Linked DNA regions of Macaca mulatta. The main gene of each other region encodes a partner of the protein of the gene in region 3 in a complex. Links are inferred from orthologs where the notes say so. Each region holds a gene or a part of one and is shown on either strand. Other genes may lie near its edges.

The links.
Region 1: STRIP2 (region 3) and STK24 share a complex: the UniProt entries of both Homo sapiens proteins name them as parts of the core of STRIPAK complex. The link is inferred for Macaca mulatta from reciprocal best matches to the Homo sapiens genes STRIP2 and STK24.
Region 2: STRIP2 (region 3) and PPP2CA share a complex: the UniProt entries of both Homo sapiens proteins name them as parts of the core of STRIPAK complex. The link is inferred for Macaca mulatta from reciprocal best matches to the Homo sapiens genes STRIP2 and PPP2CA.
Region 4: STRIP2 (region 3) and PPP2R1A share a complex: the UniProt entries of both Homo sapiens proteins name them as parts of the core of STRIPAK complex. The link is inferred for Macaca mulatta from reciprocal best matches to the Homo sapiens genes STRIP2 and PPP2R1A.
Region 5: STRIP2 (region 3) and STK25 share a complex: the UniProt entries of both Homo sapiens proteins name them as parts of the core of STRIPAK complex. The link is inferred for Macaca mulatta from reciprocal best matches to the Homo sapiens genes STRIP2 and STK25.
Region 6: STRIP2 (region 3) and STRN4 share a complex: the UniProt entries of both Homo sapiens proteins name them as parts of the core of STRIPAK complex. The link is inferred for Macaca mulatta from reciprocal best matches to the Homo sapiens genes STRIP2 and STRN4.
Region 7: STRIP2 (region 3) and STK26 share a complex: the UniProt entries of both Homo sapiens proteins name them as parts of the core of STRIPAK complex. The link is inferred for Macaca mulatta from reciprocal best matches to the Homo sapiens genes STRIP2 and STK26.

What each region holds. Positions count from the first base shown.
Region 1 is NC_133422.1:93,164,386-93,167,885, forward strand, and holds part of STK24 (serine/threonine-protein kinase 24), read right to left. Parts: intron 1,808-3,500; coding exon 1,662-1,807; intron 1-1,661. UniProt on the Homo sapiens protein: Serine/threonine-protein kinase that acts on both serine and threonine residues and promotes apoptosis in response to stress stimuli and caspase activation.
Region 2 is NC_133411.1:143,126,130-143,130,393, forward strand, and holds the start of PPP2CA (serine/threonine-protein phosphatase 2A catalytic subunit alpha isoform), read right to left. Parts: upstream 2,801-4,264; 5' UTR 2,590-2,800; coding exon 2,488-2,589; intron 2,296-2,487; exon of another isoform or gene 2,163-2,295; intron 1-2,162. UniProt on the Homo sapiens protein: Catalytic subunit of protein phosphatase 2A (PP2A), a serine/threonine phosphatase involved in the regulation of a wide variety of enzymes, signal transduction pathways, and cellular events.
Region 3 is NC_133408.1:169,105,831-169,109,330, forward strand, and holds part of STRIP2 (striatin-interacting protein 2), read left to right. Parts: intron 1-2,138; coding exon 2,139-2,213; intron 2,214-3,216; coding exon 3,217-3,314; intron 3,315-3,500. UniProt on the Homo sapiens protein: Plays a role in the regulation of cell morphology and cytoskeletal organization. Required in the control of cell shape. Calmodulin-binding scaffolding protein which is the center of the striatin-interacting phosphatase and kinase (STRIPAK) complexes.
Region 4 is NC_133424.1:64,406,338-64,409,837, reverse strand, and holds part of PPP2R1A (serine/threonine-protein phosphatase 2A 65 kDa regulatory subunit A alpha isoform), read right to left. Parts: exon of another isoform or gene 2,824-3,500; intron 2,680-2,823; coding exon 2,447-2,679; intron 1,816-2,446; exon of another isoform or gene 1,800-1,815; intron 952-1,799; coding exon 804-951; intron 682-803; coding exon 526-681; intron 1-525. UniProt on the Homo sapiens protein: The PR65 subunit of protein phosphatase 2A serves as a scaffolding molecule to coordinate the assembly of the catalytic subunit and a variable regulatory B subunit.
Region 5 is NC_133417.1:146,800,741-146,805,028, forward strand, and holds the start of STK25 (serine/threonine-protein kinase 25), read right to left. Parts: upstream 2,801-4,288; intron 2,745-2,800; coding exon of another isoform or gene 2,412-2,744; coding exon 2,382-2,411; exon of another isoform or gene 2,032-2,381; intron 1-2,031. Other genes in the region: uncharacterized protein LOC106992798, read left to right, coding at 2,410-2,744, 2,801-3,467. UniProt on the Homo sapiens protein: Oxidant stress-activated serine/threonine kinase that may play a role in the response to environmental stress.
Region 6 is NC_133424.1:59,223,516-59,227,699, forward strand, and holds the start of STRN4 (striatin-4), read right to left. Parts: upstream 2,801-4,184; 5' UTR 2,768-2,800; coding exon 2,486-2,767; intron 2,422-2,485; exon of another isoform or gene 2,330-2,421; intron 1-2,329. UniProt on the Homo sapiens protein: Calmodulin-binding scaffolding protein which is the center of the striatin-interacting phosphatase and kinase (STRIPAK) complexes.
Region 7 is NC_133426.1:138,491,849-138,496,091, reverse strand, and holds the start of STK26 (serine/threonine-protein kinase 26), read right to left. Parts: upstream 2,801-4,243; coding exon 2,759-2,800; intron 1-2,758. UniProt on the Homo sapiens protein: Serine/threonine-protein kinase that acts as a mediator of cell growth. Modulates apoptosis. In association with STK24 negatively regulates Golgi reorientation in polarized cell migration upon RHO activation.

The DNA.
Region 1 (3,500 bases), on a different chromosome or scaffold from region 3:
ATAACACCCATGTCCAGTCCCTTGGGGATTTTCCAGAGATGCCCCGCCTCCTCCCTCACAGAGACGAGACCATCGCGAGGTGATTCCCGCACCTCCCTGGTGTGCCAGCGTGTGCGTGCCCACTCTCCTCCTCCTCCTGGAGGACACCTCCCCCGCCTCCCTGGGAGCCCATCTCTGGGCCATCAGCTTCTCTCTGCTGGGCTCCTCCTCTCACCAGGAAAGCAGATGTCCCTGTGTTGGGTGTGGTGGCTCGTGCCTGTCATTCCAACACTTCGGCCTCACCTCGGCCGTCTCTCAGCCCCGGTTCCAGGATCCACACTCACTGCCTCTATTTGGTACCCTCCACTCGCTCCAAAGCCCGCCGGTGTCCCTCCGAGCACTCCCTCCCCCATCATGAGATGTGTGCTGACTCCCTGTCCTGCGTGGGCCTCAGAGGCAATGAGCCCTTGGCCCTGCTCATCATCCTGACGCCTGTGGCCCCACTGAGCCTGCACCTCCTCCCGCCCCTCGGCCACACCTCTCCCCTCTCATTCACAGGCGGAGCCTCACCCTCACGCCGGCTTCCCTAGGGGCCGGCCTCACTCCCCCACACGCCCCGACTGACACCCTTTGTTCTCTTGGCTCCAGTGACCTCCACAGAGCAGTGGCCCCTAAGCCCACTTCACCTGCCCAGCTTTCTCACCTGAACGCCACACCTCGGTGCCACTTCACACAGGACGTCTCCTCCTGGACAACTCAGACTCATACATGGTCCACCCCACACTCGGCTTCCTGCACCACACATCACAACGCCTGTGGCCACGCTGCCCAAGCCTGGAACGTGGGCTTCCCTCCTTCACCCAAATCCACCGCCACGTCCTGGCTCTCAAACCTCTCTCCAGTCTCTCTATCTTGTCATCCCTGTCGCTACCCCGGCAATCTCCCAATGGCAGTGCCTCAGGAACTTCCGAGGGCAGTGGTCTCAAACTTGGCTTTAAACTGCCATCACCTAGAGACACTGAAAACCCACTTAGGGTGTCACCCCCGGAAATCCTCATTCATCTGGCCTGGCGCATGGACCTGCACTGTGGGCCAAGTTTGACTGCTGCCAAGGCATGCACGAGAACAGACGAGCCCAGGCTTGGACTTCCAGACACAAGCCTACCCGACCGCCTTCCCCAGCCCTCGCCACACAAATGGCTCCAGCCCCGCTTCGCCTCTTCAGCCAAGGGAATTCCTAGATGCCGAACTTGACAGCAGTTCTCAGAAAGTCACCGCTGGTACAGAAGCTTCTACCAGACACAACAGAGAATCACAAACACGTGCATTTCTGGCCTTTCAGACATCCATGAAAAGCAGTTTCACCTGATCATGATTTTAAGAACAGAAAGTGTAATGGAAAACAAAACAGAGCAGAACCGAACGAAACAAAACAGAATCAAACAGCCAGGTCCAGTTCCCTACGCACAGCTCTGCCACAGAGTTCACTCGTAGAACTTCCACCAGCAACATCCAGAGGCTCAGCTCCCCAACAGGCCCAGGATGTGGCTAACACAGCAACCGCCACCAGCCTGGATTGTCTAAAAAAAACTCAACAGAAAACGAAACCCACACCAAACAAGTGACAAAGACCAGTGGGTCCCTCCCACACACACGCTCGGGTCGCTCAGGGGCCAACTTACGCGTCTGAATCCTCGGAGCTCGAGTCGTCGTGGCTCTGCTCGGCCTTCCATCTCTTGTACCTGTCAATGAGCTCGGTCAGGTAGGAAGTTTTCTTTGCATTGCGTAGTATAAACTTGTGCTTCAGTAACTCCTTAGCAGTGGGTCTCTGGAAAAACACACACAACAACAAAATATGAGATGAAGCTCTTGATCCCACCCCAAAGGACAGACTTCTGCCTCAAAATGTCAACCCGCCACACTGACACCTGATGGCTGCGATTCTACTCCGCACCTCTTCTCACTGTGACTCACCCAAAGACGAGGCGCTCAGGACCTATGCCTGGGCTCCAGGTACCATGGTGGGCAGGGCAGTGACTTTCTAAGGAGGTCCCTAATAAATGCATTTCCACAGAAACCTCTGCACAGAGCTTCACAGGGATCATTTAAGAGACCTTATCTCCTAGCTTATGAAATACTTTATGGCAAATAGCTGACAGAATGTATGTTCTATGTCGCTTTAACTTTTTTTGAGATGGAGTTTTGCTCGTTGCCCAGGCTGGAGTGCAGTGGCGCGATCTCAGCTCACTACAACCTCACCTCCCCAGTTCAAGCGATTCTCCTACCTCAGTCTCCTGGGTAGCTAGGATTACAGGCCTGAGCCACTATACCCAATTTTTTAACGTTTGGCCACATCCAACCATATAATAGAAACGTCAATTTGGAATTCTCTCAAAGAAACCGGAAAGGAGCCAGGAGATGCCCTTTCTCCTGTCTGCTGAAAGAGCAGCTGGGCGCTCTGCATCACCAACTTTCCCAGTTGAGAAGGGCTGTTTCCCAGGTCCCTCCCTTCCCTTGTGATTGGGCTGAAGACTTCACCCATGCCCTGGGCTCAGCACCTGGTCAGCTGCCTGCCTTGAGGATGGCGACAGTGACAGGGAATGTGCTTCCCAAGGAAACCAGCACAGCCCAAATTGGAATAGACACCAGGAACACCCAAATACCGAGTCGAACCGAATTCCCACTCACTCCAAATTACAAAAGCTTGACTACAAAAGCCAAGCACGTTTTCAGATTCAAACTCATGAGAAACCTGGATCACCCTTGAGTATTCTCCCTCCCCGTCCACCCAAGGGTGAAACCCCAGCTACCCCGGAGGTGCTCGTAGTCTCGCCTCTCAGCCAGCTCCTCGGTAGCTGTGGGGTGGAGCTCTGTGTGCTGGAGCATAAGCCCATACTAGACACATGCTTTGTAAGGGAAGACATGCCTGCACGTATCTCCACCAGTGCTGGTGCATGGTGGCTGCAACAAACATCATCTTGTAATAAAATGCAGAGCATCGTGGCATGCAGGACAAGCCCCACTACCACAAGATGCTGATGTAGTCATCAAATGCTGGTGTGGTGGTCTCAGCCTGCATCTCCCCAGAGGTGCTTAGAAAATGTTGCATTCCTCATGTAATTCTTTTACCAAAACTGGCATATTAGGCAACCATGGTGCTCTTGTAAAAGTAACCACTTTTTTTTTTTTTTTTTTTTTTTTTGAGACGGAGTCTCGCTTTGTCGCCCAGGCTGGAGTGCAGTGGCCGGATCTCAGCTCACTGCAAGCTCCGCCTCCCGGGTTTACGCCATTCTCCTGCCTCAGCCTCCCGAGTAGCTGGGACTACAGGCGCCTGCCACCTCGCCTGGCTAGTTTTTTGTATTTTTAGTAGAGACGGGGTTTCACCATATTAGCCAGGATGGTCTTGATCTCCTGACCTCGTGATCCGTTTTTACACAAGAGTTAAGAAAAGGGGGGCTCAGTTTGGCCTTCAGCTAACTCTGCTGGAAAACTCCGAAACAAAACAAGGACATATGGTGCTA
Region 2 (4,264 bases), on a different chromosome or scaffold from region 3:
ACACCAAAGAGCACATACGTAGCTTTTACCCACAGATGCCATTGGCACACAAACATTAACAGTGAAAGACAGCTTTTGTTTTATTAGAAAGACTTGTACAAAAAATATCAGTTCATGGATTCCACATACTCAAAAAAACTGTCTTCAAATTAATTTAGTTTGGAAGTTTAATATCATCCTCAAAGTTGAAATACCAGTTATAAACAGTATGAAGGTTGTGTAATGACATCCACCAAAACGGATCCATTCCATGGAAACTTTTATATAAAACACCTACTCTCAAATATTATTTCCATCTTTTTTGGCACTCAGAACTAAAATTTGCGTAAGCAGAGCAAGCAATGGAGATTCACCTCACTACATCTTAGTTTTACAAAGATGTGGAAAGCAATATTAGATGCACTAGCTTCACTCACCCCACTTTAGCATCCAGTATGATATATCTTATCTTCTACAACAGTTTCCAGCACAAACCCTCTACTTCCATGCTCCATCTCCCACACCTTTTCATACCACGCTTTTCTTTCCAACTAGATTTATAACTCCTTGACAGTAAGCATACTTATTCTTCATTGCTTTTCATTTCCCTCAAGAGAGTATGCAATCTTGGATATTCAATAGGTGTTCAATATTAAACACACTAATTTAAAACGGAATTGACTGTATAATCTCAGAACACATTTTAATTTATAGACAGGAAAACAAGGACCAAGTTAAGTGGTTGTCCCAAAGTCTCTCCCAATTACTCAAGTAGGAGCGGAAGGATTCATGTCCAAATCTAACTCGCAGTCCAGTCTTTCAGTTACGTCATTACCTCCCTCCTTTCCATGTTTTCTTCAAAAGACTAGTCAACTGGCCAACTATTGACTTAAAAGTCATATAATGCACTGAGTTCCAAAAATCGGCATATGTATAGTACCTAGAAATTAAGACCTGGCAATATACATTCATTTTGAAAGGCCAATTTTAAACCTTCAAAATAAACACCAACCTCATTTGATGTGAGAGGGTAAAGAAACAGGAGATTTAATACATCGCTACCATTAAAAGCCATCTCCAACAAATGATGTACCACCTCATCCACTAGTAGTAGTTTTGTTCAGGCTTGGGAGAAATAAATCTAAATTTGACTTACTTAAATTCCAATTGTTCACAACATGGCTTCTAAAAAAGCCTGTCTTGAAAACATATACATCAAACTCATGAACCTAATTTTCACATCAAACCACAAACAGATCAGGGTAATAGTTTTCCATTGATTCTTTTCACGAATACAAAATGCTAATATGATACTCCACCATTCCGTACTAAAGCGACATGCTGCAAAGTTAATTTTGAAAAGGGAAGCTAAAATGTTCACAGCAGAGATCAGCATTTTGTGTACTTTAGAAAACTGAGTTACAAGAATTTAAAAATACAACACACAGCTAATAGTTAAATTAGCTACCTGTTTCCCCAATCCCTAGGGGAAAACAAAACGGAATTAGCTAATATAAAGTTTAGGGTTAAGTGGACTACAACATTCTATTTTCAGTGTGAGACATTATTTAAACACTAAGCACAATGTCTGGAATACAATCTCAGTCGACAGTTATTACTACTACTACCAGCAGTCACAAAATACTATGAAGTAACTTTTGCAACAAAGATACAAAATTTACCGCTCTTCCATTTTATGTTGTTCATTTTAAAAATAAATGGCAAAATGCCAAGTGTGTTAAGCTTAGAGAAGGCTTTGAGTCAGCATATAAATCATAGATTCAAGTGACACTTGATTGCCAATCCAAAAGCTCCTTATGTAGTATGACTCACCAAATTCCCGATTTCTTCCAACTATGAAAAATAAGTTAAACTCCTATCTTATACCTACCACCATGACCTTCGCAGAAATTAGGTTAAGAGAATAATTTTTAAATTCTTAAAGACACCCCTTTGGTTTCTGGAGAAGATCGCTTAGTGAGTTTAATACAAGCCACCAAGGGGTACTAAACTTGTGTGACCTTTAGATATGTTCTGGGATATGGTCTAACAAGACTGCCTGTGGGGATCCTCTGGGCAGCTTTGGACCTAACTAGGCCTGGGTACAAGCGGAAAGACTCTTACTCAGCCCACCGTAGAGGCCCAGGCTCCATTCCCAAGCCGCAGAATCCAAGCCAGCTCACCCTCAAAACCGTCCACGACGCTGACCCACAGGGTCTCCGCTCCCCCTGCCACCTCGTCTGGCGCCAAGGCCGGGAGACTCAAAAACCCAGGAGTCGGGTGAACGGCGCCATTTTAGGCGGCGGTGGCGGCGACAACCAATCCCTGCGCGGGAGGCAGGGGGCGCCGGGTCGCTCGGAAGCCGCCGCCGGCCGGGATGGGCGCCGGTCTCGGAGGCTCGGGGGACCCGGGCCGGAGGCCTCCGCCATGTTGCACCCTCCTCACGGCCGCCTTTTCCTTGGCGGGCTTGGCCCCGCGGCAGCTGTCCGCAGCCGTAGTACAGCTCACCTTCTCGCAGAGGCTCTTGACCTGGGACTCGGACAGCTGCTTGCACTCGTTCAGCTGCTCGATCCACTGGTCCAGCTCCTTGGTGAACACCTTCTCGTCCATGATGCCACCCGCCCCAGCCGGCTGCCGCTCCGCGCTGCTCCCGCGCCGCCGCCCGCACACGGGCCACACGCACACGCCGCCGCCGGTTCCTCCTGTACTTCTGGCGGCTTTTGAGGCTGGCGCTGGCCCGCTGGCTCTCACCGCAGTACTCGGCCGTCGGCCGCTGCGCCTCCTCCTCCGCTCGCTGAGGCTCCAGAGCTCGGCTCTCTGTAATGGCGGCCGCCGGGCGTGGTGACGTCACGCCCGGCGTCAGGAGGCGGCGGGGAGCGGAGGGGAAGAGGGCCGGGGAGCAAGCTGCGCAACTGCAGAGCCCACCCCGGGCGGCCGCACAACCGGAGTTGGGGCGCAAACTGGGGGTCAAAGCGCAGGCGCGACGTAGCCGGTTGGTAACTGAGGCGCCTTGACTTTTTGGGCGTGGCTCCCGGAGGGCGGGGTGGTGGGGGAAGGGAAGGATGGAGCTGGAGCATGCGCAGTGCGCACAGCGGCGAACTGGACTAATCCCTTAGCGCTAAACCCTGAGAGGAGAGGACTTGGACCGCGCGCAGGCGCAGACCGGGTGGAAACCGGGGCTACTGACGGCCTGGAACTGGTTCCCATGGGAAGGCTGCTCTGGTGATGAACTCAGCTCCTCACCTGGGGCCTGGCAGCCCGATCACGGAAACGAGAATTGCGACCCCATGGCTCATCCGGGGTGCAGCGGCGCTGTAAACGTGTGGGTTTCCCTCATCTTTGGGGGCAGGAACGGGCAGCGAGTGGCCGCTTGGATTAACCACCTCCACCTCTGGGCGCGGCTGGCACCTTGTAATTAGGTCACTCGTAGGTGGAGGAGCGTGTACCTACCGGGGGAGTGCCGTGCAGTGCACCTGACTTCCCCGGCACATACCTGTCCCCGGACTTAGGTGTCTCGTCCGGCGCGATGGCGGGGGCGAGGTTTGGGCTTTTCTTTGAGCCTCGGACCGCGGCTCGCTTCCACGCGCCCAGCTCCTCGCCCGTGGTTGCTTTCCTCCAAGTTTGATTCCCCCCTGGGAATGAGAAACCCTCAACCGCTGCGCGCCCTGGCCTACTTTTAAGAGGGGAAGCCCAGAGAAGATGGATGCACCTGTCCTGACCGCGTCTCGGTGGCGTTAGAAGCAGCTGTGATCCGTGCTTAAAAGAGAGCTCGTATACCCTAGGATTGGACCTCTGTCTGGTTATGAATCGCTTTGGAGTTTGCAAAACGTTTTCACATTCCACTGTCCCTGCTTTTAGATAAATACCTGGTTCCATAGAACGCCAGCTATGTGCCAGAACCAGAGGGGTCATCCAGACGGACCAGGGACCCTGCCCTGGAGCTTGTATTCTCCCAACAGTACTGGCTGAAGATGGTTTAGGATAGGCAGAAGAAAGATCATAATGCCCCCAGGATTTGAGAGATATAGAAGCTTTCCAAAGAACATTTAACCATAAAGGGCAAGGCAAGAGCTGAACCTGATCGCCTATCTTCCAGGCGCCCCACCCTCAGTATCAGGCAACCCTTCCACACCCAAGTGCTCAGCGATGCTTGGGAGGAGAGTGCTCAACCTGCCACTCTGAGGGCGTCATCCCCACCAACAGGCTGAAGAAGGCACTGGAGGTCCCATCAGCCAATAGCAGGACTGAAAATCCTTCTTTATCCAAGACAACCTGTTTGGCGAGG
Region 3 (3,500 bases):
GAACACAGGGCCGAGGGCCGGGATCCTACAGATAGAGTCAGAGAGGTGGCCTAAGGCCACTTTGCCAAGAGCCTGTAAGCAAAAGTAGAGAGCTTGAAGTAGACTCACAGTCAAAGGGAAGGAAGCCTTTGGAGATTTTAAGCAGGGGAGTGATATGATCTGATTTATGTTTCTAAAAACATCAGCTTCTGTGTAAAGATTGGACCAGAAAAGTGTAGACCCACTCCAGGGAGATTAGTTAGGAAACCCTTGAAGTAGTCAAGGTGAGAGATGATGCCGACCTGGATTTAGAGATGTAGCTGACAAGACTTGCAGTGCATTTAGATGTGGTTAGAGAGGCAAAGAAAGGAATCAAGAATAAGTACCATTTGCCAGGATGTGGGGGGAATATCAAGAGTTCTGTTTTGGTCATACTAAGTTTTAGATGCCCATTAGATACCCATGTGGAGCTGCAGGCAATTGGAAATACAAGTCTAAAATTCTAGGGAGAGGGCTGACTTTGAGAAATAAATTCGGAAGTTGTTTGTAACACTTATAGGCAGTGTTAAAGGCCATAGAACTGACTGAGATAACCCAGGGAGGGAGTAGAGACAGAAGAGAATGGAAGGCAGGACAAAGTCCTGGGGCACACCAGTATGTTGAGGTGGGCATGTGTCAGGAAAGGAGCCAGAAGAGTACGAAAGACAGTGAAGTGGCTGGAAATCCAGGAGATTATGATATCATAAAAGCTAAGAAAGTCTTTCAAGAAAAAAGGAGTGATCTGCTGGGTAAAATGCTACTAATAAGTGGCATTATGGTAAGAACCAAGGTGCCCATTGGATTTGGCAACATGAAGATAATGACCTTGATAAGAGCAACTGTAAGTGAAGTAGTGGGACTGAAAGCCTAATTGGTATGTATTGAAGGGAATGTCAAAAAAGGAGGTAGATGATATAAAAGTTTTGTGAAGAGGAGAGAAAGTGGATGGTAGCTGAAGGAGAATGTGAGGTCAAGGGGAGGATGTTTTATAGCTGAGAGATACTAGAACATTTTTTTTTGTCCTAAAATAAATGATCCAAGAGGGGATAATTGCAGGACTGAGGCATTCAACAAAGCAAATGGGTGTGGGATCCTGAGCACAAGTAGGAGACTGGCCTTTGTTCGAGCACAGGCGGTTCATCCTTCATGTTAAGAAGGAAGGAATAAGACTCTTTGTAGATGTAGTGTTGAGAAGATGAGTGTGTGCCTGTCTGAGTGCTTCTGTTTTCTCCATGAAGCGTGAGGCAGGATCAGCAACTGTTTAGGCATGGTGGGCAAAGGAGTTGGTTTGAGGAGAGGGAAGATGGTTTGAAATCGGCCTTTTGGAGAGCAGGAAGGCAAACATGCCAGGATTGCCAGGCTCCGCTGAATGTCCATTTAGGACTTACATCCATTTAAGCAGCAGATGAGTTGTGTGGGACAGAAGGAGGCTGGTTATTCTTCCCTGGCTCAGGGTCTCATGGTAGTGAACCCTTGCCCTGTAATAGAGAGACCTTGTAGGAGGAAGGAAACTGCATTGGTCAAAGATGACAGTGGCCTGAGCAGCCTATTGGGTCCCTGAGGCCCCAGCCTCCTCACTCTGATAAAAGGCTTAGTTAATGTCATCAATAGGACAGAGATAGTTATATATGAGGGGGCTGGTCAGAAAGGAGAAAGTGATGTAGGGGTGAATGGAGAGGGGAAGAAAATCATTTCCATCCACTTAAAAGCTTCTTTGCTGATATTCCTTCCTGTTTCACCAGGCCATATGTTACCCAACTTCCTTTTAAACCCTCACTATTGAGCCACCTACCTCTCCTTCCAGGCTTACAGAATGTTCTAGAGTTCTCAGCCTCAGATCAACACTATAGGAAGTGCTTCTGTAGCATCTGTTCCAGTTTCCCAGGTCCTGAGAGGTCATCCAGGCCAACCTGATGGTCCTATTGAAGAGAAAACTAGGACTCAGAGAAGGAATGTGACTTATCCAAGGTCATACAGTGAGTCATTAACACAGCTAGGGCAGAAACCTAGATCTGACTCCCAGCTTAGTGCTCTTTTCAGGTCACCCCTTACAACCAAGAAAATAAAGCCTTTGGTCACCTGGAAAGTGGCATTGGCAAACCATGTATTTCTTGCCATAGGGGGAAGAGGTGGTACCAGAGACGCCATGTGAAATCCTCTACCAGGGAATGCTGTACAGCCTCCCTCAGTATATGGTAAGGAGATGGTTAGGCCAGAGCTGCCCTTCTCTGCTACAAGGAACAGACAGCTAAAAACCATTTCAAGCGGACCTGTCCAACACTTGAACTTGTTTTCTGAGCCTTTGTGCCTTTGGCAAGGCATTCTCTGACACGTGAAAATTCTGAGCTTTCCTCAGTGCTCCTCTGATGGTGCTGTTCTCCCTAGTCCTTCTTTGGGAAGGGTGGGGAATAAGTTGGGGTCTCTACAGGATACACTGGGGACCCACCCTCCTCCGAGATAAGTACTGTAGTCCCTCTGAGATCTGCTGTGGTCTGTCATGTACTAGATAGCCTCAGGCTGGGAGTGGGGAAGATACCAATGGTTCGGGTTAGAGGAAAGAAAAGAGTGGGAGAAGTTGGGCTTATGCCTCCCACCTTATTTCTACACACTGTCCCTCTCACTCTGTTCCTTCCATCCTCCCCTTTGAAAAGAACAGTCTTTTTTTTTTTTAAGTGGAGTCTCACTCTGTCGCCCAGACTGGAGTGCAGTGGTGCGATCTCGGCCCACTGCAACCTCCACCTCCCAGGTTCAAGTGATTCTCCTGCCTTAGCCTCCCGAATAGCTGGGATTACAGGCATGCGCCACCACACCAGCTAATTTTTGTATTTTTAGTAGAGACGGGGTTTTACCATGTTGGCCAGGCTGATCTTGAACTTTCGACCTCAAGTGATCTGCCTGTCTTGGCCTCCAAAAGTGCTGGGATTACAGGCATCAGCCACCATGCCAGGCCCTGGAAAGAACAGTCTTAAAGCAGAACAGCCAATGCGCTCCCTCTGGCTTTCTCCTTAGCCTCACAGGCAGGCCTCTCAGGACTGGGCACCTGTTTGCTCTTCTGGACGCTGGGGAGATATGGTCATTGAGGGAAGAACTTGGAGAATGGCTTTAAAACACTTTTTATAGGGCAGTTAGGGTGCAGAAGAATCACTCCCTTGCTGAGTGGATTTGACAGTGGTGAATTTCTTTATTTCTACTTCCCAGATCGCTCTGCTTAAGATTCTGCTGGCTGCAGCTCCCACCTCCAAGGCTAAGACAGACTCTATCAATATCCTGGCAGATGTCCTACCTGAGGAGATGCCGTGAGTGCTTCAACGGGGGCAGCTGCTGGATACTAGCTGTCTTGTCTGCAGGCTCTCTCTAGTCCCCACTCACCTTGTTAACACTTACAGAGATTGTCTCCAAAGAGATCTCCTCCTCTCTGCCCACCAGTACTCCCTTCCCCCTTCAGGGCTTTCTGCTTTGCTCTTTTTAGCTCAAAACTCAGG
Region 4 (3,500 bases), on a different chromosome or scaffold from region 3:
GGTGGGCATCTGTAATCCCAGTCCCTCAGGAGGCTGAGGCAGGAGAATTGCCTGAACCCGGGAGGGAGAGGTTGCAGTGAGCCAAGATTGCACCACCACACTCCAGCTGGGCAACAGCACTCTAGCCTGGAGGACAGAATGAGACCCCGTCTCAAAACAAAAAAACAAACAAACAAACAAAAAACTGCACCTTTTTGGGCTGCGTCTTCCCCTTTGTGAAAGGACAGCTTGATTATGTCAGGAGCACCCCACATGTGCTACCCTTCTCTGCTCCTGTGGCACTTTCCTCCGTGAAGCCTTAACTTAGCCTCAGAATCCTTCTCAAGGCAGCACTTCAAGATGCCATGTCAATCAACCAGGATTGGCATATAAAGTGAGATGAAGTTAGACGATCACAGAGATCTTATTGCTCAAACGCCCAATGATTCCGTCGGCCTAATGGTAAACCTCAGCTTCTATATGCTTCCCTTCTGAGGGTGTCAGTGTCCCCCACCAGTGGGACAGTGTCAACGGTCGCTCACCTACCTCTGTGAACTTGTCGGCCACCATGTAGCGGACGCGCCAGGACTTGTCTTCAGCGGCCTGGCGCAGAGTGGGCATCACCAGGGCCTCCAGATCCTCCTGGGGTAGGAGCTGAGCAATGTTCACGCACGCCTCCACCGCCAGCAGCCGCACCGAGTCCTGGGGAGAGGAGAGGAATGCAGGAGGGCAGCAGAGGCCTTGCTGAACTCTGAGATTCTCTTTCACGGGCAGGGACCAGCAGAAGGAGGTGAGAGCAGAGAGGTCCAGGGAGCAAAACTCACCTGCTCGTCAGAGGCCAGGTTGGAGAACATGGGGATGATCTCACTCTTGACGTTGTCCAGCTCCAGCACCTTGGCAAACTCCCCCAGCTTGGAGGCTGCGGCCCGCCGCACCATGGGGGTGTCATCTGAGCACAGGTTCCGGAAGTACCTGGGAGTCGGGGATGGGGATCATGAGGCAGCAGGCAGTACGGCAGAGAGGAGCAAGCACAGACTGCAGTTGTGTGGGTCCAGGATTTAGCTGAATGACCTTGGGCAAGTGATGACTCCGTCTGTCTTCCCAGCCCTATGAAAAGGCGCTGATAGTAACAGTAACTACCCCACAGGTCTGCATGAGGTTTCAATGAAATAATGTGTGTGGGACACTTCGCAGACTGCACATAATAAATCCAGTCAATGGTAAGTGCTGACAATTACATTATCATGACCATAAAAATTGCTTAACCAAGGGGCCTGGTACAGTGGCTCATACCTGTAATCTGAACACTCTGGAAGACCAAGGCAGGAGGATTGCTTGAGCCCAGGAGTTCAAGACCCGCCTGAGCAACATAGTGAGACCCCATCTCTAACAAAAATAAAAAATGAGCCCAGCGTGGTGGTGCACACCTGTGGTCCCAGCTATTTGAGAGGCTAAGGCAGGAGGAATGCTTGAGCCCAAGAGGTTGAGGCTGCAGTGGGCTATGATTCTATCAGTGCACTTCAGCCTGGATGACAGAGCAAGATCCTATCTCAAAAACAAACAAAAAACTGCTTAACTAAGAGGCTAGTCTAGAGCCACAGAAAGGCTTTATTTTACAGCAGCAATTGCTTCGGTCAAAGATGGTCAGGGCCAGTGTAAGTATCTAAGCATCTGTGCAGCCGTAAATCAGAGTTCTGGAGTGAGCCACGGCTCAAACCTGGGCATGATGGTCAACTGTTTGCAAAGTAGAGGAGCAGGAGGCTGAAAACTGAAGTGGTTTACCTGCCAAAGGCACCGGACCTGGGACAGGCTGGAGACACCATCAGATGTGATGTGCTGAAAGTTTTTATGTTCCAGATTTTGCTCTAAGCACTTTATATGTGATAATTCCTTTTTTTGTTAGACGGAGTTTCACTGGTGTCGCCCAGGTTGGAGTGCAACGGCATGATCTCGGCTCACCGCAAACTCTGCCTCCTGTGTTCAAGCGACTCTCCTGCCTTAGCCTCCCAAGTAGCTGGGACTACAGGAGTGCGCCACCATGCCCGGCTAATTTTTGTATGTTTAGTAGAGACAGGGTTTCACCATCTTGGTCAGGCTGGTCTCGAACTTCTGACCTCACGATCCACCCGCCTTGGCCTCCCAAAGTGCTGGGATTACAGGCGTGAACCATTGCATCCGGCCTATATGTGATAATTCTTTTAAATCCTCACATTAACCAGTGGGAAGGAGGACCTGTCATCATCTCAATTCCTAAGTGAGCAAGGGGGCAGAGGTGGTAAATTGACACGCGGCTGTGTCCAGAGACCAACTCTCAAGGATGTGGCCTACCACGTGGTAAGCAGGAGTGGGACTGGAGAGAGTTCAGGGGCGTGTGGGCCCTAGGCAGACCGAAAGGAGGCTGAGGCTTTAGAGAAGGGGACCGAGCTGAGGGGGGAGCTTGGAGCTTCCAAGGGGGGCAGAGACTCACTGTCGAAGTTCCGCCTTGACAGCACTGGACACTCGGGGGTAGCAGACGGAGAAGAGGCCGCAGGCCGAGGTGCGGGAGGTGAACCAGTCGCCGCCCGCCAGCCGCTTCACCAGCGGCACAAAGTGTGCCTCCAGGTCAGAGGGCGAGTGCTCGTGTGAGATGGCCCGTAAGGACTCCACTGCCTTGTCCCGCACCACTGTCTCCTCCACTGTGGCCAGCGACTCCAGGGGTGGCTGTCGTGAGAATATGAAGTCACTGGACAGCTCCCTCTCTACCATCCCTGGCCCTGGACCCCCATCCTGCAACCCCCTCATGGGCTCATCTCCTCAGAGAAACCTTCCCTATTACCCATCCCAGCCTTCATTAAAAGAGCATTTTAAAATGGTTGCAGTGAATGATTCAAAGGAAAAACGTAATATTATGCCAGCCAGCAGAAGGTCTCTGTCAGCGTGCCTTCCACAAAGGTTCTTACTTAGGGGTCCTTGAAGAAGTTTCACTGGGGTCCATGAATCTGAAAATTACACACATCACTTTCTGAGGAGAAAGTTCTTAGCCTCTCAAAGTGCAATGATCATCACTGACACTGCGTAGAACATCAGTTCACTGTGTGTACTAGGCAGGACCACCGTGTTGTACCAGGGGTGCTTGTTTTTCCTCACTGAATTCTATAAAGCAAGTCCTGATTTTAAAGAAGAGAAAACTGAGGTACGGACTGGCTTGCCCAAGCTAATAATAGCTACAGGTCAGGATCGAAAACCTGACCTGAGTTTCCCATGAACAGGTACAGTTGTGCTGTCTCATACAACTCTGGTGACTGAATTGGGATCTCATGTTTCTGGGGGACTATGGGGCTCGGGACGGCTCGCTGGTTGTTACTGTGGGCTTAGAATGACTGTGCTCCTTCAGATATATATGACTGGCTCTCCACTGTATCCCCAGAGCCCAGCAGCACTCTTAGCACAAGACAGGAACTCTTAATTAGCGACCTACTGAAGGGAGACTCAACTTATCCCAATATGTTCAAATAAAGGTACAGAGGTCTCTGGTTTGAAAT
Region 5 (4,288 bases), on a different chromosome or scaffold from region 3:
ACCCACACTCCCTCCCCAGTGCACCCACACTCCCTTCCCCAGTGCGCCTACTCCCTTCCCCAGTGCACCCACACTCCCTTCCCCAGTGCCCACACTCCCCCCCCAGTGCGCCCACTCCCTTCCCCAGTGCGCCCACTCCCTTCCCCAGTGCACCCACACTCCCTCCCCAGTGCGCCCACACTCCCTTCCCCAGTGTGCCTACTCCCTTCCCCAGTGCGCCCACACTCCCTCCCCAGTGCGCCCACTCCCTTCCCCAGTGCGCCCACACTCCCTTCCCCAGTGCCCACACTCCCTCCCCAGTACGTCTACTCCCTTCCCCAGTGCCCACACTCCCTTCCCCAGTGCGCCCACACTCCCTCCCCAGTGCCCACACTCCCTCCCCAGTGCACCCACACTCCCTCCCCAGTGCGCCCACACTCCCTTCCCCAGTGCGCCCACTCCCTTCCCAGTGCGCCCACTCCCTTCCCCAGTGCGCCCACACTCCCTTCCCCAGTGCGCCTACTCCCTTCCCCAGTGCCCACACTCCCTCCCCAGTACGTCTACTCCCTTCCCCAGTGCCCACACTCCCTTCCCCAGTGCGCCCACACTCCCTCCCCAGTGCGCCCACTCCCTTCCCCAGTGCACCCACACTCCCTCCCCAGTGCGCCCACACTCCCTCCCCAGTGCACCCACTCCCTTCCCCAGTGCACCCACTCCCTTCCCCAGTGCGCCCACTCCCTTCCCCAGTGCGCGCCCACTCCCTTCCCTGGGTCTGATCGCACCAAGAACCAACAGCACACAGTCACAGGGCACCTCAGAGCTCCAATTTCTCATCCCGTGACCCAAAGGAGCTATTTCTGCAGTTCTTAAAAATAAACTGGTGGCCGGGCACGGTGGCTCACGCCTGTAATCCCAGCACTTTGGGAGGCCACGGCAAGCAGATCACCTGAGGTCAGGAGTTTGAGACCAGCTTGACCAACATGGTGAAACTCCGTCTCTACTAAAAATACAAAATTAGCTGGGCGTGATGGCACACGCCTGTAATCCCAGCTACTCGTGAGGCCAAGACAGGAGAATGGCTTGTACCTGGGAGGCAGAGGTTGCAGTGAGCTGAGATTGCGCCATTGCACTCCAGCCTGGGCAACAAAAGTGAAACTCTGTCTCAAAAAAATAAAAAATAAAAATAAAATAAACTGGTGACAGATTTTTCTCCCAGCACCTTAGTCATGTAAGTTACCAGATACAGAAAGTCAAAAATCTGTTAGCTTAATTCAGCATCAGTCAGCAAGCCCCAGTCCCATCTGTGACCGCGCAGGTCCAGGCTGCCTGGCCCAAGAGCTGCACACGGTATTCCGGGTCTCTAGGCTGGTCCAGTTTCCTCCAAAGCAGCCCTGACTCCAGTTCCTGCCCCTATGCGGACAGACGCCCTTCCTGTTCCACTGCACACCCAGCTCTCAGGAATTCAGCACAGAGGAGTGAACAAGGAGGGCCACACATTTTAGCGGCGATTCCAACACCTTAGGCAGAGCCAAGGCATCAAGGAGAGCAAAACCGAACGCTAAGACGTAAAAAAACCCAGCAGCCAGAGTCAAAAAAATGGGGAGAGGTACACAGTGCAAGTCTCCAGGTCCCAGGCTGGCTGTCCCCACCCTCCTTCCCTGGCATGCCCTGTGGCAGCAGCAGCTGGTCCTCATTCCAGACTAAGGGCTCGCTGTAGTGGCTCCTTCCGAGGCTGTCCCACCAGACGCTTCAAAGTGGCTCCATAGTGGAACCGACTTCTTCAAAGAGGAATGACGAGCCTCCTGTTCGGGCAACCGCCCGTAGCAGGGGTTAAACGGTTCTGAACAGAGCAGCCTTTTCACCTTCCCCTGGGCCAAAGCACACACGCGTTCTCCGCTTTCCCTGCACACCGGCCGCTCAGATCGGCTTCTCCACGTTCCCAGCCCCTCAGCGCCCATCAGGGTCTCCTCTACGGCCCCCGCCCAGCCCAACACGGCCAGAACGGCCGGAACGACCCGTGGCCCGGGCTCAGGCCGCAGTGTGGCCCCTGACCTTCCACTGCCTTCAGATGCCGACACGAGGTTCCCGCCCCGCGCTGGGGGCAGCGTCCTGTCCCGGAGCCGGTGTCTCTTCACGCACCTCCGCCGCCCTCGCACAGGCGGAGCCACCCGGGGCTCGGTGTCAAGAGGTCTGCGAGCTCCTACCACGCAAAACGCCACAAGCACACGGCAGAGCCCGGGGGCCGCCCTGCGCCCACCTCAGGACGGCTCCGCTGGTCGCACGACGCGCGCTCCTTCCCTCACCCACCGCCCGCTCCGGCGAGGCGCCCCTCGGAGCCCCCGGGAAGCTCTGGCGCCCCTCGCTGAGAGGCCGCTAGTCTTCCTGAACTGCACCCTCCTCACCTGGTTGGCAAATCCCCGGAGGTGAGCCATGGCCGGGCCGCCTCAGACCCTCCGCCGACAGCCCCGAGAGGCGTCTGGATCCCGCGGAGAGGCGTGGAGCCGGCTCGCTCGCCCCTGCGGCGTCAGTCCACTGCGAGGGACAGCAGGAGCGGTCGGCGCCCAGTTCAGTCATCTGAGACCTAGCTCCGGGGCGGCGGGCTGGAGGGGGGCCCCAGGAGACCCCCAGGCCATCGGGGCCCCGCCACGCCCGGGCCTACAGCCCAGGCTCCCGGGGACTCGCCGCCCCTCCCGTCCCCGCCCCCACCTCTTCCGAGGCAGCTTCCTCCCGGTGCCCCCGCCCCGGAGTCCCCGCCACCGAGCCCCGCCCCGGGCCCCTCCCTCCGCCCCCTCCCCAATCGCCGCTAACGCGCGCCCGGCAGCGCGCCCACCTCCGCGGGGCTCCATCCCGGCCTCCCCCGGCCCGCTCTGCAGCGCCCGCGAAGGCTCCCACCCGCAGCCTCTGTTCGCCCGGGGACCCCGGGCCTCCCAGCCCGCGAAGCAACGGCGGTGGCGGCAGCGACAGGAGAAAGCCCGGAGGAGGCGACGGCGAGGGCGGTATTCGGCGTCGCGGCCCGCGCACGGCTCTCTGGGACCCCGAGTCCCACCGCCCATTCCGGGCCCGGAAGCCTGCTGGCGTTGGACTACAAGTCCCGGCAGGCCGCGAGAGAGGGGCGGGGCTCACATGCGCGCCGCGAGGCTCTCTGGGACCCCGAGTCCCACCGCCCATTCCGGGCCCGGAAGTCTGCTGGCGTTGCACTACAAGTCCCGGCAGGCCGCGAGAGAGGGGCGGGGCTCACATGCGCGCCGCGAGGCTCTCTGGGACCCCGAGTTCGGCTCCCGAAAGGCTTGGACTGCGTCTCCCAGCAGGGCGCGCGGCGGGGCAGGCGGGGCACGTGGTCGTTGTCGCGTCGCGTCTTCCGTGCCTCGCCCTCGCTGGCCTTCTGCGTCTGCTGGCGCCTGCAGGGCGTCGTCTCCGACGTGACGGCGGCCGCGCGGCGTTTCCCTTGGGCTCTGCCCTGCGCAGCCCTGGTCCGAGCTGGCCAGTAAGGCCCCGCGCCCTCCCCGCCTCGCCCCGAGGATCCACCGCGGCCGCCCAGGCTGTTGGCCTTGTCCTCACGGCTCGGAGATAAGCCGGCGCTGGTCACACCGCGAAACCCCTGTTCGCACCGAGACCCCGCTCGGGATCATGCGCACAGGCCAGGGCGCAGCAAGCCTTGGAGAAGCTACCTGCACAGCCCATTCCTTGCGCGAGCTTCGCATCTTCTGCCTCAGTTTCCTTACCTGTAAAGGGGTGATCATAGGACATCCTTGGTCACACCTTTGTGGGACCCACCTGGGCTAGAGCGCGGTACCCGCCCAGGACAGTGACTGCTGCTGGAAACCGTCGTGGCACTGGGGTCACCTCCCCAAGGTCAGGGAGGGACTTGCAGAGCCCAAGGCTACCTGGTGCACCCCCCTGCCCCGTGGGCCGCCAGGTCATAGTGCCCCCTGTGTGCATTCCCCTGGTGCACCGCAGGGATCCCCACCTGTCCGGTGAGGAAGATTTGTCTGTCCTCCACTCTGTGTCCACCCTTACAGGCCCTCAGTTTCCATGATGGCTCAGCACAGATGACTATCCTGACCACCTCACACCCCTCCTTCCTCAAGAGGGTTCTGGCGTTTCTCTTTGCTCCCTGGTGCGTGTTTTCTCATGGTGCGTTGCCAAGTCCTTTAAGAAGCCATGTTTCCCTGTCATGCATCCAGGACAGCCCCTTGAACCCCTGGGTCCCCATCTCATCACCCCTGCTTGTTGACATACTGACTTGGTTTTGTTTGTGCTTTGACTCCCCAGGAGGAAGTGGGCTTCCTGCAAGCAGAGCTGTGCCCAG
Region 6 (4,184 bases), on a different chromosome or scaffold from region 3:
GGAGGCCGAGGCAGGTGGATCTCTGGCGGCCGGGAGTTCAAAACCAGCCTGACCAACGTGGCAAAACCCCCATCTCTACTAAAAATACAAAAATCAGCCAGGCGTGGTGGTGCACACCTGTAATCCCAGCTACTTGGGAGGCTGAGGCAGGAGAATTGCTTGCAACTGGGAGGCAGTGGTTGCAATGAGCCGAGATCATGCCACTGCACTCCAGCCTGGGTGACAGAGTGAGACTGTCTCAAAAGAAAAAAAAAAAGGTCCACAGACAAGCCCTTCTGCCCATCTGCTGGGATCCTCGATAAATCACCCTCTCAAAACTTCCATTTCCTCGTGATTTTTTTTTAAAGGCAGGGGGAATATCCTTTACCCTTCCAGAAGGCCATAAGAATGAAATGACAGCTCGTATCTACAGTACTTGATACACAGCCCCAGACATGGTATGTGCTCACTAAATTGCAGCTGGTGCCGTTATTGCTGAGTGAGGTAATGACACTGCCTCTGCCTACATCACGGGGCACTGAGAAGATCTGATGAGATGTATGCTGGGAAAGAGCTTCGGAAGTAGAGAGTGGGACACAAGTGAGAGCAGTTACATAAGGATTCTGCTCCCACCCCAGCTCCAAGCCTCAGCCACCACAAGTGAGGGCAGGGGGAGAGTTACTTGAGGTCTTTACTCATCCTACGAACAAAATACCGTTTTTGTTGTTGTTGTTTTCTGAGATAGGATCTCACTCTTTCGCCCAGGCTGGAGTGCAGTGGTGCAATCACGGCTCACTGCAGCCTCAACCTCCGGGGTTCAAGCAATCCTCCCACCTCAGCCTCCTGAGTAGCCGGGACTACAGGTGCACATCACCACGCCCGGCTAATTTTTGTACTTTTTTGTAGAGATGAGGTCTTGCTATGTTGGCCAGGCTGGCCTGGAACTCCTGGGCTCAAGGGATCCTCCCACCTCAGCCTCCCTAAGTGCTGGGATTACAGGCATGAACCACCGCACCCCACCCCTACCGACAAAATTCTCATCAGTTATTTATTTGGGTGCCAGCTTCCACTAGATAGAAAACGGCAAATCGGAAGGGGAAACGTGGGCTGCTACAAGGAATACTAGCAGAAAAGTACTGACAATTTCTGCTAATAATAACCCAGTCCAAGAATCTTCAGACCTCCAGTGGGCCATTCCTAATCCCTTCAAATCCGGACATCTCCATGATCCTCCAGTCACTGCCAATGGACCTGATGCTCCACGAGGTCACAAACCCCAGCCCAACTCTTCAGACTCTTCCATACATCAGCCCGGAGCACATCCCTGTCCCAAGCTACCCCACAAACCATGGGGTCTTTTCCCAGGACTTCCACAAACATATCTCCTTCCCCCCAACCCCACCCTACCCCCGTTCTCTCTGAGATGCCTCCTCATGTTGCCTTCGGGCTCTACAAAATTCTCCCCCTTAAAGCATCACCCCAGGGTAACACCTAACTCGTCCTCATTGGCACCATCCCAGGACCCTCACCTCCATACTGGACATGCCCGACACCCCCACACTCCAGTTCAGGGTTCTCTTCCTACATCCTACACACACGTCCCATCTCAGTGCCATCGCGCCCACTCCTGCACACCCCCAAGTGGAATTTCCACTCTCAAGTTCTCCCACCCAGGCTCCTAGGGTACATCTCCTGCTCTGTCCACACTTCCACTCCAAAGATCCCTTCCCTGCACTCTGCAGCCACACATGCCCGGGATCCCCAAAGTTTCCCCTAAGAGGGAAAGGCACACACCTTCATCCTGGACCCCTCGAAACTCTCTTCCCACCTCTCGGGTCCTTACACAGCCACCCTTCCGTGCCCACTGTCCAGTCGCCCCGAAACACACCCATCTCAGGCTCCCGGACTTCCTCTCCCTAACTCCTCCCGGTTCCCGGTCTGGATCCGCTCTTTCCCAGCGTGTCCCAAGTCCCCCCTCGGACGCTTCTACTTCCCACCTGCACCTGGCTAGGGCCGGGGTCGGGGGTCCCTCTGCGCCCGCCGAGCTTCTGCTCACTCCCACAGGAGACCACTGAGGTCTTTCCCAGACCCCTCCAGCTCCTCTCCACACCCTTTCCCGAGTTCTCTTGGGCTCCCCTCCAGGGCCCGAGTCGCCTCTCTCAGGAGCCCCGCGGCCGGCGCGCTCAGTTCCAGTCCCAGTCCCACTCCCAGCCAGTTCTGGTACCTCGGCCCCTCTCTCTCGGCCGGTCCCGGTGATCCCTCCCACTCCCGGTCCCTCCACTCCCACCTCGGGCCGTCCCGGTCCCCTCCCACCCGGGGTGCCCTCAGGACACCCCTCGGACGGCCCCTCACTCGCCCTCCGGGACCGTCGCGGTCCCCTCCCGCCCCCCCCCGGCCGTCCCGGCGGCCATTGCTCCAAGATGGCGGCGGCGGCGGCGGCGGGTGAGGCCGGGCCGGGCCGGGCCGGGTGGGGTTGGGGGGTCGGGGGTCCCGGGACGGCGCTCACCTGTAACTCGGCGCGCTCGGCCTCCCAGCGGGCTTTCTCGGCTTCAAAGCGCGCCCACTCGTGCTGGATAAAGTGCAGGATCCCCGGCAGGCTCAGGGGCTCCGGGCCCGCCGTGGGCCCAGGGCTGCCTCCGCCGCCGCCTCCCTTACCTGCCGGGCCCGGCCCGGGGGCAGGGGCGGAGACCGGGGCCGCCCCAGTGGGGCCAGGGCCCGCGCCTGAGCCGAGCGGACGGCAGGAGGAGGCGGCGGCGGCGACCGCGGCGGCCGCTCGCTCCTCCATCATGGAGGCCCCGGGGCCGGCCCGCGCGCCCGCTGTGCTTCGCGCGCCTGCGCGGGCGCTCCAACACCCCCCCCCCCCGCACCACACACACCACCACCGCGCGCGCGCCTGACGGAGGACAGTGGGAAGAGGGGCTGGTGGCGAGCGCGAGGCCGGGCACGAGCCTCGCCCACCCGGGTCGACCCCGAGGGCTAGCGTGCCCGCGCGGGGGGCGGCGAGAGGGAGATCGCGCCCCGAGGAGGGCGAGGGAGACCCAGACCCCGCACGACGGTCCCCCTCGCTGGAGTGAGACTGAGGAAGGGGCCACTTTCTGCCCCCCTCCTCCTACTCCGCCCCAGAAAAAGAGCCTTACCCCTTCCACACCCAAACATCACTCTCCTGGACAATTACTTTTACTCTGAGAGAAAGGGCGACCAGCAGTGGCCCCATCCTCTCTGATTCCTGTCCAGGTCGGTTGTCATGGTAACCTTTCCCCATTGGTGGGGGCGAGTTGGTGGGGGACAGCCTTCCCCTCCCTTCCACCTTTGTGGTTATGGAGCCCCAAACCTCTTCGGACTCTGCACCAGGAGAAGGTTGCTAAGGTAACCTAAGTCCCTGGTGGTCCTTCTGCTCCTTTCCTCATTGGTTACTATGGCAACCCCCCACACCTAGCATTCAGGTAGAAAGTACCCCAGCCCCAAAGACGCTGATCTCTAAGAGAAGCACGTCTTCCCCAGCCCCTCCCCCATAGCCACCTAGTTGGCATTACCATGGTAACCGTCTTCCCCTTCCCATTGTGGGAGGCCCATGCACCAAACCAACCAGGTGTTTTTATTTAGAGGAGGAGATGCTCTGCTGAGGGGCAGTTGCTATGGTTACAGGGCCTGGACCATCCTCTGGGGGACGAGAAACAGGCAAGGTCAAGGCCTGGTTACTATGGTAATAGAGAAGCCCCCTTCGAGTGACCCTAGGAACCAAGCCCAACCAAGGAGGGGAATTTTTTTTTTTTTTTTTTTTTTGGAGACGGAGTTTCACTCTTGTTGCCCAGGCTGGGATGCAATGGCCCGATCTCGGCTCACCACAACCCCTGCCTCCCTGGTTCAAGCCGTTCTCCTGCCTCAGCCTCCCGAGTAGCTGGGATTACAGGCATGTGCCACCACGCCTGGCTAATTTTTTTTTTTAGTAGAGACGGGGTTTCTCCATGTTGGTCAGGCTGGTCTTGAACTCCCGACCTCAGGTGATCAGCCTTAGGCCCGCCTCAGCCTCCCAAAGTACTGGAATTACAGGTGTGAGCCATCACCCCTGGCCAGGGGATGTTTTAAGAATCTCTGAGAGGTGGAGTGTGTCTAGGGAGGGGGTTGTCATGGTAACAGCTTCTGTTGGCTTCTAGCCCTACCTTTTCTGGACACATTCATGCTAGAGGGATGGTTATAGGTTGCTG
Region 7 (4,243 bases), on a different chromosome or scaffold from region 3:
CAAAAAACTTCATACCCTCAACATTTGGTGTAATATGGCAAAAATATTCATTACTACAATATTAAGAAATATCAACAATATGAGTTTGAGTAACAATTCAAAAGGAAGAATTTGAACTGGACCAAATCCTGGGTTTTCTTTCTTCACTCCAAGTTTCTTTTCTATTTTAAACTAGTGGCAACAGCAATTTCTTTGTTTGAAAGTCAGGAATGCTGGAAGTCTTAAGTGATAGAACAGGTAGCTGAGCTTCTACTCCACATCTCTCCTCAGAGGGAGAAAAAAATTGTGGAGAAAGCAATTTTGTTTTTATTTCTGGAAAAATCATTTTTCCCATCAATCTACATAATTCTCTAAAATAAACTGTTAAAAAGTTATAGGCTGGTCGGCCACCTCACCCTGATTTGTGGAAACACTATACAGTAATTTCAAGAACACATGGCTAACTCAAGTTTTCTAAAGGTCTAAAAGTTGCTCCTGACGCTTTCATAAAACTCTAGGAGAATTTTACAAGCTCACAATAGATTTCTGCATCTCATCCGCAATATTTTGCTACATAACAATAATAAAAATAGTCTAGGTTCAAGAGTCACACTGCATGCTATCAAATTTATTATTAAGGTATTGTACAATTTCAACTATGGAAAAAATTGTGTGCTGCACAAAGTGCTTAAGAACTATATTAGAAAGAAAATGGAAATAAGAAGTTAAGAATTTACCATTTCATTAAGATGAAGAGAATGACCAAAAAAAAAAAAAGATTCCTCTCTTCTTTGCTAACATTGAGATGTTTGCCCTACTCAAATTAGGTGGGACAAAGTAATCACAACTCAGAGGGCATAGAGTGAAAGGCAGAATTTGTAATTTAAAGTATGTGATTCACATTCGAATCCACATTAATTAAGATTTAAAAATTCAGGAGATAGGCAACTCAGATAATTAAAGCAGGGAGCAATCAGAAATACTGAACAGCAAGCAGTTCCTAAACCACATAAATTCAATAAGGTCAAGACAAAATAAAGATCAGAAACTATTTTCCCCTCAGCACACAGAGTTCCCCAGAATCACAAACTTGATGAACGCGAGGCACTCACTCTGCTGACGCACGCACGCAGGCTCGCGCACACAATGGAGCCAGAAGCATGGAGACCCTCACAGACAAACTTCACATGTGCATCGTTTTACTCTCCACAGAATGGAAAGAAGAGCACGGTGAGAAAATGTCACTTTTTCCCAGATCAAACAGCAAAACTGTACTAGTATTAAGAACTATGAATTCCCTTGATACAATCAAAGGCAGAACTGAATGAATGGGGTGTGGGGCAGGGTGCATGGGGAAAAGAGGGAGGGAAGGAGGGGGGAGGCCGCCTGAGAGGAAGAAAGTTTGAGGCATTTTGCAAGGCTTGAGTGGATTAATCTTTTCTTTTTTAAGCCCTACTATTTCCTATTTCCCTTTCTCTCTCTCTCTCTCTTTATTTAATATACACTAACTTCCTGAGACTCAACCCAGACTTGCCCTAAATGCAGCTGAAATGTCTGGTGTTTAGGACACACCAGGAGTTCTAGGTGCACAAATAATCCCTTTTTGGGAAAGAATTCAAAAATCACTTTTGTGGCCATTCATAAAATGAGAACACTGAAAAACAAACAAAAAAAGAACTCCATGCATCAACAAGTAAATTGAGGCCCCAGTCTACAACTCTTTGATTTCTACTAGAAATATAAGCTATTTACTACTAAACATTTTATTTTCGAATTTGAAAAAAGGTTGTTTTCACATTTTAGATCATGAGGGACTGAGGCTTTAGTGGTTTTAGCCTCTAAACTATTCATAAATGGGTTGTTTGGGCCATCTAGCAAAGGAAAAAAATAGAACATGAACGCTTTAAAAAGTTAGTAGATTTGGGTAACATTTAGCAGATAGCCTAAAGTGCACCGATTTAAAAACATAACAGCATAAAAAGTTTTCTGACATAGCTTACCTTTAATAAAATGAAAATATAATGGGAGGGGGTTGGGCTGGGTAGACTTCGAGTAACAAGTTGGGTTCCATGCAGTAGTCCCTTGTCCAAGACAAAAAGCTTCCTTTAACCACATGTAACAGTCATCTTGTGGGAAAGGCACAGAGGGGGCTGAGAAGTCATCACCTCAGCGACTCTGAACAGAACCAGCACTTCTCACGCCACACTATGGGCTGGCCTGGGTCGGGGAGCAAGCTACAACTTTGCCCTTAAGCAGCAGTACCGAAAGAGAGAAAGAGGTCACCTCTCTCTTAACCCTACGCACACAGGAAGAGCCCAATGCAAGCCGCCGCCGCCGCCACCCCTGGTCTTGCCCCGCCCCAACTTGAGTGTGTGTTTGGGGTGGGGGGTGTAGGTCACTCACTACTCGCGTTTTACCCCACAAATCCCAAGGCACTTCCATCTCTCCCAGGTTAAGTTCCGGCCCCCCATCCCCAACCGTGCCAAGCTCAGCAGGCGCAGGTGTCTGTGGCTCTGGCCTATTTTTATACCCCCAACCGCCCTCAATCCCCACCTAGTTGCGCGCCTCAGTCCCGCCTCGCCTTCCCAGCGAAGAGCACTACTTAGCCTACACACCAGGAAACACCTCGAGCCCTACTCCCAGGTCACCTGGCCAGAGTGACCGGCCCTGCCCTCAGGGGAGCCCTGGGGCCGACCCTTGTCGCCGGTGCCCAGCACCGAGAGCGCACCGGGCTCCCAAGTAGTCACGTGGGCGGCGGGGGCGGCCTGCGCTTCCTCACCTGCATCCCAGGCACTTGGACAGCCACCGGTGAGTGGGCCATGGAGGCAACTGCTGCCTCGCTCCGCTTCTGCGGCGGTGGCGCCTTGGGTTCGGACTGGCTCCTCCTCCGGGGGTAGTTCGGCGGCCCTCCCAGGCTTTTCGATCGGGGCCTGGAAGGACACACAAAAGTGGGGTTACTGGGCTGGCGGCGCGTAGCCCGGGGCTAGGAGGTGGGCTGTTCGCGGCGCAGCTGCCCGGGACTCAGTCTACCTTTCTGGCGCCCGCCCGCCGCTGAAGCAGCCGCCTCCGCTGCTGCTCCTCTTCCTGAACGCCGAGCGCTGTGAGTGGTGGTGGCTGGGACCTGGGCTCGAGTGATGCCGCTCCTCTGCGCCTCGCCGCTTTAGGAAGAGGAGGTGGAGGCGCCCCAGCCACCCGCCTGCTCGCCTGGCCGGGGAGGCGGTTGGGGGCGGTTCCGCCGTTGGCCCTGCCCCCGCCCCGCAGTCGGGCGGTGTCGCGGGAGCCGAGGCTCCAGGCAACGAAGGGGTTTGGCTGGGGTTGCTGGAGTCTGAGAAGCTGGAGACTCTCCCGGCACGCGAAGAGGAGAACCCGGGGACCGGGAGACCTGGAACACGGCTGCGCCTGGGAAGAGAATGGAAGAGTTTGGGAAACCCTGAGGGTATGAGGGCGCCCCAGATGCGGCCACGTTGCAGGGAGGCGTGCGAGGCTGGGGCACATGCAGCCTCGGAGACGACTTGAGTTGAAACTTGGGGAGTGTTGCAAGTCTTTCTTGGCTCCCCGGCCTGGCCAAGGGTAGGATCACAGATAGCCGCGGAGTCGGTGGACCCCCGCCTTTTCCCGCCATCTGGTCTCCTCAGTTGGGAGTCGCGCTTCTTGGCAGATCCGTGGCCACACTCTTGCTTTCCGAGTTCCCTGACCCCTGACATGCTTCAGGTGACTTCAACTTAAGATTCCCCCTACCTCTTGGGCTATCACTTGCAGAACTGCCAAACTGGGGCTTCTCTCTACCATAAGTTCTGCACGTGTAAGGCAAAGGGAAATTGGAAAACAGACGGTATGTCGGCAGAAAAATTAATGAGGATAGTAGAGGTTTGGGAAATGAGATTGGATCGTTAGCAGTACAGGTTATTGAATTCAGCATACACTGCAGTGGTTTTGGTAACTCCCTGCCTCCGCCCCATTTTAAGTTCCACTTCAGGAGGGAGACGGGCTGTTTTGAGAGTACTCTAACAGTAGCGACAGTAAGACTGGTAATAATAGCAACAGGAATTTCATTATGAAGGCACCTTTGGGAACACGTAAGGGGTTAATTACTTTTTAAAAACGGAATAGTCAAGTGCCACTTTTAAATGAAGATGAAGTTCCTTACCTTGAAATTTGTTATGGGTCTCTACGCACCACATTGTGGGGGGCCTCTAGTGGTAAACGGTAGTTTCTCTTCTTCCTTTTAAATCTTTTTCAGAGAATAGTATATGATTCTTATCAA